Linked DNA regions of Tribolium castaneum. The protein of the gene in region 1 interacts with the protein of each later gene in a biochemical or structural test. Links are inferred from orthologs where the notes say so. Each region holds a gene or a part of one and is shown on either strand. Other genes may lie near its edges.

Region 1 (6,451 bases):
TGCTATTAGAAAAATTGCCTTAGCAATAAAATTAGCTTACAATAAAACAATGCAAGTAGCGACTATTTTTTGTCTTTGGGTCTGGCCTTCCTCCATCCAAATGGCCAAAACACTTATTTCAGTTTAATCCGCTCGTTTTTTATTCCTGCTTACAAAGTATTAAAACACCTACACCCGAATAAGTGGATCACAGTGCAGCTTTCTGTCCTGCACACATAAGAGGATGTGTTTTTGCATCCACCTTATAAGTCAATTAGACGTGGCGACCTCTTCTTCCAAGATTTTTTTCCTTTGGTGCCTGAAGGAACTATTCAGTTCACATAATTTTTCAATGTCATCATCAAGGCACGCGATGACAATGTGAAGCAACCTCACACAAGGCTTTTCGTTGCAGTGAATAAAAATACTTAGAAAAGTTGATGCGGAAATTCGTCGATTTTACAAGTCTGTGTATTCGAATATGAGTCCCATACTAAGTAAATTTCATTCGGAAAAAATAAAACGAGGACAGAATTATTGCGACCTTCCAAGGAACCATAAGGTGTAGGTGGCAGCGTTGGTTGGAGGAGAGTATCAAATTTGTTTTAGTGAAATTATAATAAGATGAGCCTTGAAAGAAAAACACCTGCACTAAATTAGTTCAAGTTTATTTAAATAGTCATAAAACGTTATTTATTCAGTTTTTTACGTGCAATTACTCTACGAGTGTTAATAAACAAATGATTCACCCATTTATGTTAAAATTCCACAACTTTGAAATAAAAAAAAACTACAAAGACAAATTCCTTAAATAGAAACGCGAGCTGTTATTATTACGTTAAATCAGTGTGTAGCTATGTAAAGGGTGATTCAGTAATATAATTCCTATTTTTTGAATGATTCTTTTGGGAAGGTTTTTAACTGTAATTTGTTCAATGCATACCAACTGTCTGATTCACAAGATAAAGCACCCAAAAATGGTCGTGGAATTTACTATACACCCTTTCACGCATTGTAATATTTTTCAAGACTTTACTATTGACAATAGTTATGTTTAAATCTTGTTAGTATGAGTATGTTAATAAATAAACGTAAAACCATGACCTTGAGAAGTAAATTAATTTGTAAAAACACCTCATTATTCGTACATATTTCAACACTTTGTGAAAAGTTCCATCTTGAAACAGTAAAGACTTTCCTGTAGTGAAAACAAAATGAAAACACTTGATACTCAAATCTAAATTTCTAATTTTTTTTTAATTTCATTTTACTTTTTACTATTGGTTTTAATCATTAATCTCGAAAATAATTTTCTACCATATTTTTATTAAAGGTATTTCTTCATTAGAAGTATTTTGGCATAAGATTATAAAAAAATTCCTAGAGACCTACCAATTTGTGTATTTGATTGAAATTAGGAAAAAATATTTTAGCAAACAAGCTGAATTTTAATTAGATCATTAAAAAAAACATTCCATGATTGAGTTGAATAAGATGATGCTTTGTACGTCAATACATAAATTAAAACTAAAAATACATTATAATTATTGTTATGAAGCCAATAAATAAGTTAATAAAGTAACAATTTCAAATCGTGTATACGATATTTTACACCGAGAAACCTTTCTAATATTAATTTTGTTGCGTTAGTCACTGAAAATTTGTCCTTAATTAAACTGTTTTGTACAGCTTGCTGTTTCGTATATTTAATTAGTAGTCTACCATCAAAGAATTTGATTTAAAAAAGGTATTACATAATTTTTGTTTTTCCATAAAACTGTACAATGTAAAATTATTACAAAAACTAGTTGTCAAGGTAAAATACCAGATAATCTGCATTAAATTAAAAGCGGTCTATGGATTTATTGATTCCTTATGAAGTAATAATTTAATGATTTTTATAATGTGAAATAATTTACAGTTTGAGAAAGTTTGTAATAAATACGGTTACAAGTAAAATTATGAATCAATTACATTTATGATAAATACAACCTACGCGACTTTTCGAAAAAGGAATCGAGAAATACACGTGCCTAAAACTCATTAAATATTGGCACGTAGGTGAATTCTGTCAAATTGGAAATTAAATTATAGTGTTTTATGCTTACAAACACAATTTGCATACATGTTATCACGGCTTTCAACCCTCCTATGCAAAAAAATCTCGAATACATTTTGTATATTAATTAATTGTCACTTCCTTCCTTTTCCGAGGCGGACATTAGCGATCGAATAATTTATAGCAATATTAAAGTGTGACTAAGAGGCTCATTCTTAAGAAGTATGTGCAGTAACAGGATATGAAGAATGATTGTTTCAACGTCCTAAAGCAGAAAAAGACGTGACGTTCGACATATACAATATGTGAGATGGTAGAGATTAGTATTCCATGCAGGTGATAGGATCACACATTGCATTGACAATATTACGCGGTCTCATGAAGGTCTACTTAATCATTAATTATGCCAACATAATAGTATCGCACTGATACATATCAAAGAAAAATAGAAAACAGAGCGTCATCAATGGTGTGAGAAAAATATTCAGGCTACTTTTATTTTCTGTTGCAATCTTGTGACACTTGCACCTTGATAGCTTTCTCGAAAGCGAACACAAAGACAAGAATAAATGCGTTAAAAAAACAGCAATTCGGCTGATTTTATTCATGATATTGATAAATAGATGTTTTATTAATCCTCTAAGCTAAAATTTGTGACAATAATCCGCAAGATTATTATTTGTAAATTTCTAAAAAAAAATGCGAAAAAAGCCTTCGTTTTGCAACTAGTTGTATAAATAGCTATAATCGGTTTGTAATTTTACTGGAATTTTAAATCGTTGTTTACGACCGTCTAGAAGAATAAATCTTTATGTATGTTGGAAAATTGCGCAGATAAGGAAAACTATTGCGAATGTTTGCACTACAGAATATATGCAAAATTTTCTGGTGGCAGTTGTGTTGCATAACTTGTAACAAAAACCATTAATTGGATGGCTCAATTATGTAATTATTATGCAAAAATAAGGTTTACAATAGGACTCACCTCTCAGTTGTGGGGTCGGCACAGCTCAGGGGATACTTAAGTTCGATAATTTCCCCATTTTTCTCCCTAAGTTGCCCCTGATTTTCCATATAATACTGCACCAACTCTGAGAGAGTTGCAAATTTCTCGCCGCCATACAGGTCATAAAAGTCTCCAGAATTTTGGATTTTAATGTGGGTAACCTCTCCATTTCTCCTGCCAAAACGTGAAACAAGGGGGCACAAAAGTGGAAAGGCATCACTTACTTGACTGATAACGTGAACGATCCGGGATTATTTGAACTAGGTCTTGCCAAGAAACTGCAATCAACTCCTCTTTCCATTAAAACTCTTTCAGCCTCTATCCCACTGATTGTGGGCCAAAACCATCTGCAATGAAACCGTTTTTATCAACGAAAGGCATCCTACCCTGTAGGCCTTGAAAAATCTTTATTCAACAATAAAAAAAAATAAACAAATTCCCACTGTTGCTGTGTAAATAAGACTTTTTGACAGCTCGCACTTATTACTCCAACAAAGAAATTTTACTTGTGGGATATTGGCGAGGCAACTTCGTGGGTCCTGTCTAACATTCGGGATAATTAAGCGCTTACCTTCGGGAACTCATACTTTTGGTTGGACTTTTGTTACAAAATCTATGAATATAAAATAAACCTCTTGCAAAAACTATCTCCTACGTGAGCCACCATCTTGAATCTACAAGGGACGGTCAAAAACTCTAACCAATTTCTATATACCAGGTGACCCAAAACTCGAACTGAACTCAAAGAAACAGTAATTATTTTATTAATTTACGGTTTTTCTTCTTATGTGAATTAAGTAACAATCTTGTGCATTTACTATCTACGATGATTTTGTAAACCAGGAAATGCACTATTACAACACTTTATCATTATCTATGTTATTGATAACAGGATGCATTCACTAATTATTAATAAATTAGCAAAAACAGTATGTTACTCAAACCATTTCACACACTTCCGTACTTTTCAGATAATAAAAAAAGTAACTTATAGAGTTTATTGTTTATCCATTGCTTCTATCTACACAAAACCTAAACAAGAAGCTGTTTTACAGTTTTTCACACATTCTATATTTTAAATCATGGATTATATTAAAATAATGTACATAACTACACCGTTTCTGGTAAAAACAGTACCAAAACTCTATCTACATCAAGAATTTAAGCTCGTATGGTTGGAGCTGTGTCCGGTGATCCCTCTGCTAGAAGACTTGCCTGCTCTACAAGCTGCTTCTGCTTTAATTCGGGCTTCTCTTTAACAAAGTATCGATAGCCCCTCATAGCCAGTACCGAAGTGGCGTAAATTGTTACCGCTATGCACGTACAAACAAAACCTTTGTGGAGCCTCTCAACAAAAACGCTATTTCTCGGCTTTTTTTGCATTTTGGCTGCTTTCAAATTTGTGTTTTAATTTTCATCTGACAGGACATAACCTTACATATTATAGTAAGTTTAATTTTGTGAAGTTTGCCAGCTGTCATTACTAATCAACAGTATCGGCTTCAAAAATTTGTGTGCCCAGTTAAAATTAATTTTTACAGCATTGGAGAAGTTTATTTCAAAAAAATTATACACAACCTATCAAATATAGCAAGTTGCTATTCACAGTAATAACGACACAGCAGTTAAAATACTTTCAAAATAAATTTTGACAAGTCGGGTTAAAATAAACAGTAACGTACGCGGATAAAATAAATTGTTCCAGCTATTTGTCCAAGATGCTTTCTACAGCCATTTTAAGTAGTTTTGCCTCGGTGATAAACTTTGAGGAGGGGTTTGTGGTCATAAAAAGTTGTAATTGTTTCAGCAAATCTTTCAAAACTTTGGGAATAAACTGTCTCGTGTGGGGGTATCCCGGGATTAGAGCAACCAAAGCAGCCCTTATGTAACTAAAATTACAAACATTCATACCGTGTAATTAAAAATAACAGGTATATTTATCTAATCACCTCAATTTGATTTCGGTATTTTTGTGTAATTCCATACTCAACTGTTGTATCAGAGCTAAAATACAGTTCTGAGGCGGTGGAGAAGACCCATGGAAGAGAATATTACTATCCACCTTCTCACAGACGTAAATCACATAATTCAAATTTTCCGCCGACAGCGCCAACTGGAATGCTTCATCGTAACTTTCTTTAGCCAGTAGATGATCAAGATGTGCCAAAGTAACCTACAATTTAAATTGGTACAACTCTGCTAAACATTACATCATCGACCTGCGTTACACACAATAGACGTAACAAAAAGGGGGAAGTAAATATCCTACAAACCAAAATAAACTTTATTTAATCTATTCAAATACAATTAACAAAAAATAGAATTCCTTTTCATAATTTTTTGAAAAAAAAACCTAATACCGTCTACCTTTTGATGAAAAATACGGATATTTAAAACATACTTGTGATTCAACATGTGGTGAAGGGGTCACAGCTCGAGACCGCACCGCGTTGATTACACTGTCTTCCAGAAATGAAGCGTGACTCTTAAAACCTAACTTAATTTGTTCGCTAATTAAATCCTTCATACTCTGTAATAAATTCTCTTGCGTACTACAAATGAAAATTGCCACATACAACATTTTCTCTCTCTTAACACAACTTACTGCTTCATGGATGTATTGAACTGTTTGTGAATTTCAGACGACAAAGTTCCGACTAACTTATCCGTGTTCATTTGCAAATTTTCCGAAACTGATTGCATTTGAACGATCAGATCCTTACCTCTCTCTTGAACCCGTCGTTGCCTTTCCATATAATGCTCAACAGAAGCGGTATCTAAAATAGTGTTTTAAAATACAAGCCGTGTAATAGCAAGTGGGGAAACAGTAACAGACCATCGCTTGAATGATAAAACTGTTTTTTTTTTTTAATTTTTGCAGTCGTTTTCTTGTCGAATAGCATTGTTAAATGTGCAAAATAGAAATCAACTCGGAAAAATTATAAACTACACTTACATTCCTTAGTGCCCTGTGTGAAAGTTTCGTTAATTTGGTGGAACATATTTCCACAGACTTTCTCCCAAGACGGGACCAAAGTCGACGTGATCATATCCCGGTAGCATTTTTCTAAAATAGGCGTTATCACATTGGCCACTGATAAACTGAGCGACTCCGCTAGTGCCTTAAAAAATCAAAATAACAACAGAATATCAGAACATTATTCAATGAGCTTATAACACTGACTACTATTCACCAATATAAAGTTTACAAAACGAGCCAAAGCCGAGTGAATATTAGCCCTTATAAGCGAGAATACGATACTTTGTCCACTGACTGTGAGATACTACTTTCAATTTTTGGTTTGATAATTTAATTAATAAAAATATCACAGTATAGTTTAACAATGAATAACATTATTCGCAAATAAAGTTATAAAATAGAAGGAAATTTGAATGTAGCATGAAGT
Region 2 (6,330 bases), on another chromosome or scaffold:
CCCTCTACAATTAAGAATAGATAGGATAGTATTTACTGATCCACACAAAAAATAGGAAAATTACAATTTTTCAGAAATTGGTATGGGAAATGGTTTTTTGAAAACATTTTTGTTACCGTTCATGCGATTATTATGAAATTTTGTATGCCAAGAGACACAAAGACGCTCTTTGATATGGTGTAAATGGAAATCTTGTAAAAGCTATACATTTCCGGTGACAAGGGGGCCCTTCCAGTTTTTAGGTGATAACTCAATTTTTCGGCCTATAAACACGTATTTTTGATATCAAAAATCAAAAGCCCAATTATTTTTTAATAAAAAAGGTACTCTTGCTTCATGTCGTCAAACTGTACCGTTCTCTAGTTATTTGGGATTAAACTAAACTCTACACTGCACTGCAGAATAGAAAAGTATAAATTTTGAGCGTACTATTACCTTGGAAACAGTTCACTACGAGTGATACAGCTGTCAATGCTGTCACATTTGATGTCAATTTCATTTAATCCAAAGTAAATTTTGATTATTTCTTGATGATAATAGTAAAAGACATGATTATGTGTTGGAAGAAATAAACTCCAAATTGCTGGTTTTATCAATACTTCACTACTTGCATTATAAAACTATAATCCAAATGAAGAATTAAAACGATCAGAGACCAAAACACAACCTCAACTGTAACAAATCACAAAATAAAATCTTATCAACTATTTGTAATGCCATTGTTGCAATTTTTCTTTAATAGGAAGTTAATTTGATCCACAAAAGAATAATGCACGGCTTAATGTTTATTTACATTTTTGAAAATTACAAGAGCTTCGACAACAATGAGCACAAAAGCAACAAATGCCGCCAGCGTGCTAATTGGCGCCAGTGCTATTTTTCATAAGCGCGAATATCAAAGAAAATATGAATGATGAAGTCAATGTTCTTTTTTTAAACAACAATAACCTGGATCATTTTTTTAACTAGATTTACCAGTATGGGCTGATCAGGGCATCATTTCCAAATACTAAAAGAATTTTTTTATCGTTATGACTTCATGATTTGTTTTTCGCGCTTACGAAAAATACCACAGGCGCCAGCTAGCGCGCTAGCGGCATTTGTTGCTTTCATGCTTATTGTTGTTGAAGTTCTTGTAATTTTTAAAAATGTAAATAAACGTTAAACCGTGCGTTATTCTTTGCAGGTTTCAACAACCTGTGGATTAAATTAACTTACTATTAAAGAAAAATTGCAATAGTGGCATTACAAATAGTTGATAAGATTTTATTTTGTGATTTGTTACAGTTGAGGTTGTGTTTTGGTCTCTGATTGTTTTAATCCTTTATTTGGGTTATAGATAGTTTTATAATGCAAGTATTGAAATATTGATAAAAACAGCGATTTGGAGGGATAATCGTTTTCTGGTGGTGTGGCATCAGATCAAGTTGTGATGCCGGGACGGCTACCGCTAGCTCATAGATTATTTCTTCCAACACATAATCGTGTCTTTAACTATTATCATCAAGAAATAATCAAACTTTACTTTAGATTAAATGAAATTGACATCAAATGTGACAGCAATGACAGCTGTGTCATTCTTAGTAGACAGTTTCCAAGGTAATGGTACGCTCAAAATTTATACTTTTTTATTCTGCACTGCGGTATAGAGTTTAGTTTAATCCCAAATAACTCGAGAACGGTACATTTTGGCGATATGAAGCAAGAGTTCCTTTTTTATTAAAAAATAATTGAGCTTTTGATTTTTGATATCAAAAATACGTGTTTATAGGCCGAAAAATTGAGTTACCACCTAAAAACTGGAAGGGCCCCCTTGTCACCGAAAATGTATAGCTTTTACAAGATTTCCATTTACACCATATCATAGAGCGTCTTTGTGTCTCTTGGCATACAAAATTTCATAATAATCGCATGAACGGTAACAAAAATGTTTTCAAAAAACCATTTCCCATACCAATTTCTGAAAAATTGTAATTTTCCTATTTTTTGTGTGGGTCAGTAAATACTATCCTATCTATTCTTAATTTTAGAGGGGTATTCGTGGTTAAAATTATGCCACATATTTTTGAATCACCCGATATTTTTGACAAGATTTTGATTTAACAACTGGTCACAAAGGCTCAAAAAGATAACAAATCGTGTCGTTTTCGGCATAATTTAGTATTCTTTGTTCCCACCAAACAACAACTTGGAAATAATAGGATTGAACTTTCAGTCAAAAAATAGCATTGTTTTCTATTGGCGCTTAAAAATGTGCGTAATACCCGAAAGGGGGGTAAATAACATTCTTTTAGTCAAAAAAACTGCCTTTTTAGTGCTTAAACGGGTATAAAAATAACATCCAACATAATTTGGTAGTCTTTCCGGCTTATTTTTGAATTGCGTTCATGGCTGGAAAATGCTTGAAAAAGATTTTCTGGCTCTGTTTTGCGAAATCTGACTAAACTAAACCTCTAAATAAAAATAAAAAACAATGCAGTTTAGTGATAAGATCTTATTAGTTTATCGAACTTAAAATTAAAATTGCAAGAATTTGCCAAATTCTTACCTTGCCATTAGATTGCAGAATTGTAGTTCTGGTCCTCCACTGTCTCTCACGACTGATAATGTCTTTGGTCAAGTCCACATCCAAGTCAAGAATAGCCCGAATGTCGTACTCTTGCCCTATATCATCATTGCCTTTAATTGTGGTTCGTTTCTTTGCCAAACGCTTGGCTTTAATCGCTGCAATTTTTTCCACAGACATGGCTTCAGACAATGATCTAGAAATCGTCAGTTAAAAATTGTTTCTCATTTGTAGAAAGCAAGTAAATTACTTGATATTATCAACAGTGACTGAAGCCTCTTTAGGGGCATCGAGTCGGGCGGCCAACTTCTCCCTAACTTTTTGCACATGCAAGTCCTCAAACCGGGGCTTTTTTGCAATACTTTCAGGCCCTTCATAGTCAGCAGATCTTTTGACCTACAAAGAAATAATTGTACATAAAAAGCCGCGTTTTCACACAAAAAACAAACCTGTGTGGGTATTTCAAGAGGAGCACTTTTATCAATCGCAGGACAACTCGCCGTTTCGCCATTTAGATAAGCCAAGAGTTCCTTTCTGTCAGGTCTTCTCACTACTGGTATATTCTCAGCAGCGGCTTGTCGCACATATACAGGATGAGTCAGTGATACATTTTTCAAAATAAACAACAAACATTCCAACGTGTAGTATTCCTTAGGGGTTCCGTCTTTGCCAGAACTAGAAATTTTTCATTGCATTTTGAGGTTAGCTTGTCAACAGATGGAAGGGTGGGTTGCGGAGGCGGCTTGGAACGGTACTTACCCCCACATTAAATAATTGGTTTTCACATTTTTCGGCCAGGAAAATTCCCCGAATATTATCTGGCCTTCGCGTTCGATTATTTCTTTTTTATTCACATTATATTGGCGAAGCAAACTCAAAGGGTCCGCCATTTTTGTTTACTGCACTACTTTTGAGCCCAATGCTGCCACCAGTCGACACCTGAAAAACTTTATCCCAAGCTGCTGTTTTATTAGTTGCATACATTTATTAAAATAAATCGAACATTGAAATACTGAAAAATGGCTTATTCGTATGAAATTAGCATTTAATAAAACCATGTGGGTGTGAAGTACGAAGGACTATAACATAAAAGACGGAACAACACAAAAAATTGCAGGATTTTCTGAAATCAAAAAAATAGTACGGCGGAGAAAAAATGAGGGCGCTTCGAGCGTTATGCCCACTGGGCATCAAATCGTTTTAAATTAATTTAATAAATCTAACCAATTTACTAAATACAGACTGATCTAGAAATACTGAGTTTGTTAGCAACAGATTTGAAAGTATTTATGCTTGTACTTTGCAAAATTGTAACCGAATTCGATTTTTTTGACAATTATTTGACGTACAGCCCCATAAGAACATTACATTGTTGTTAACAGGAAGCGTAGTCCATTGGTATCCTTAAAAATTTAAGTTCAGTGTTGCCAACAGACTCAGTATTTCTGGATCAGTCTGTACTTGGAAAAACATGCATAAATGTTAAGTTTTGTCTTCTTAACACACTGAAAAAAAAATGACGACAAAAATTTTCATAAGAAACTTGAAAAAAAAAATTTTTAATTTAAAATCTATCTGCGCTTTATCCCGTATTTTTCAAGACGCTACGAATATGGACACAGTTATAAGAAAAATGTTACAAAAAAATTTGTAGAGAATTAAATTTTCTTTAAAAAGAGTCCGCGAGACCATATCTTTATCAACGGTTTAGACCCTAAAGACGTTCAAAGATGCTGACGACGAATTCGTTTTATTTTACCGGTGTTCAAGTAACAGACAGTTAATTTTTAACTAAACTACAAAAGGAACTTTGTTCTTTACATCTTTTTTTGTATCTTCAACCGTATTTCCAGCGTTTTGATGAAGTTGAAAACATTAGTTGCATATTTATAGAAATTCAGAAATAACCCACTATTGACTCACCCTGTTGACTCTGCATAGGTAATTGAAAAAAGTGAAAAAGTGGCTCACTACATAAAACTTATTAAAACATTAAAGCAAAACTGTTACTTCCATAAAATCTGGGTAATTATTAACAAATTATTAATTAAAATTTAAAAAAATAGATGTCTTAACATAAGATAACTATAAAGTAAAATATTTATCCAAAAAGCATTTATTCAATATGAAGTTTTGTTTCTAAATATACAAAAAAGTAAACAATTAGGTATTAACAACACTATACTTTAGACTTTAAAAATTATAGAATTTACATTACATCACATTACGAAGACAAAATTGTTGAATGTTAGTTTATCTAATTTTAAGATGCCACAAAATAAATTAACATTTTTTTTTTAATTTTTTTTATTGTAATTCCTAAAATCCCTAAAATTAAAGAGATTGAAAATCGTTTAAAATTTATTTTATTATAATAATAATCTCTAAAATAGTCTTCATTTTTGTTAATAAATACCTAATTATGAATTAAAAAAGCAAATCGAAATCAGGAAAACATCTTATTCTCCGTATTCATTTTGTATTTATTTTATTTTGACTTTATTCCAATTTTTTATTTTTTTAATGGTAATTAACATACATATTTCTAGTGTATTTAATAATAGGTACATTTTTTTATTGCTTCATCTTTCTGATAAAATTACTTAGTACAATAAAAAGTAAAACCTACCTCAGAATAACGGACACCTCTTTAGAACGGACATTTTGTAGGAACGTATCAAAACTATTGCAAAATAATTTAAAAAAAAACTGGCTGCAACGGACCCTCTGTATAGCGGACGTGGACGTGGATAAACAAAAAATTGTTTATTTTTTTCAATGTTTTAGTTTTAATTTCAAAAGTTTTTTTGTTAAAACACATATATATCTAACAATAACAAAAAATTTAAGATCAAAACGTTGACTGTTATAAATCTTATACAGTTATCAACATGATCAAAAAATTGAAAGAATTAAATTCACTTAAAGCTATACAAAACTTATTTAACCTATTTAATATACATACTTAAGTTATACAAGAAATCTGCTTCTAGTAAAATATTTTCTGTAAAATATACTTTTGCTGCTGATTTAAATTTGATTAGATATGTTTGGTAGATTAAATGATGCTCTTTTTGAATTATGTGGTTACTTTGTCTCATTCCTGTCACAGTTACAGCCATTTGATTTTTATTAAAAAAAGAATATATATTTATTTACATTAACATTGTCCACTTCTTATTAGTAGACACCTCTCCACAACAGACAATTAAAGATTCCCCATCGGTGTCCATTGCTGAGAGGTTTTACTGTACTATGTATTTTTACGTCTCAAATTACATATTGGCTGTTTCAAAAGTACTCGTATGTAAAGACCAACGTCGCATTTTTCCAAATATTTTTTAATAAGGAAGATAAAAATGTAAAATAGTTATTAATGATTAGATCTTTCATTGAAACTATAAATTACATTAACTGTTAATTTGTTGAACCACTAACTTTAAGAGAAAGTGCTATATTTTTCTATAATTCGTATAAGTTAAACTAAAATTTATTAAATAATAAATCACTGCAAGAACATTTAATATTTATATTTTTTATACATCCACACAAAGTAATTAATTAAGGCCCAGTTTCCCGTAACATAAATGACGTAAAGAAAAATTTAAACCGCAGTTAAATATAACAACACCAATCTTATAAACTTATAAACCTTAGCAACTAACGGAGCGATCAAATTTAACTTACTTAATAATCATGCCAGAAACTGGGCCTTTGAGAAATTTGAAACTTCAAATACACGTAATTTAGAAGCATGTTACAAT

Evidence for each region.
Region 2: of the proteins of csw (region 1) and hyx, one has a biochemical effect on the other in vitro, tested with the Homo sapiens proteins (2 studies listed by BioGRID and IntAct). The link is inferred for Tribolium castaneum from reciprocal best matches to the Homo sapiens genes PTPN11 and CDC73.

Annotation. Positions count from the first base shown.
Region 1 is NC_087398.1:136,635-143,085, forward strand, and holds the start of csw (tyrosine-protein phosphatase non-receptor type 11), read right to left. Parts: upstream 3,848-6,451; 5' UTR 3,630-3,847; coding exon 3,616-3,629; intron 3,392-3,615; coding exon 3,269-3,391; intron 3,219-3,268; coding exon 3,024-3,218; intron 1-3,023. Other genes in the region: Ge-1 (enhancer of mRNA-decapping protein 4), read right to left, coding at 4,750-4,933, 4,994-5,217, 5,446-5,596, 5,650-5,821, 6,001-6,166. UniProt on the Homo sapiens protein: Acts downstream of various receptor and cytoplasmic protein tyrosine kinases to participate in the signal transduction from the cell surface to the nucleus. Positively regulates MAPK signal transduction pathway. Dephosphorylates GAB1, ARHGAP35 and EGFR.
Region 2 is NC_087400.1:8,949,592-8,955,921, forward strand, and holds the start of hyx (parafibromin), read right to left. Parts: upstream 3,498-6,330; 5' UTR 3,457-3,497; coding exon 3,326-3,456; intron 3,242-3,325; coding exon 3,016-3,241; intron 2,963-3,015; coding exon 2,817-2,962; intron 2,763-2,816; coding exon 2,549-2,762; intron 1-2,548.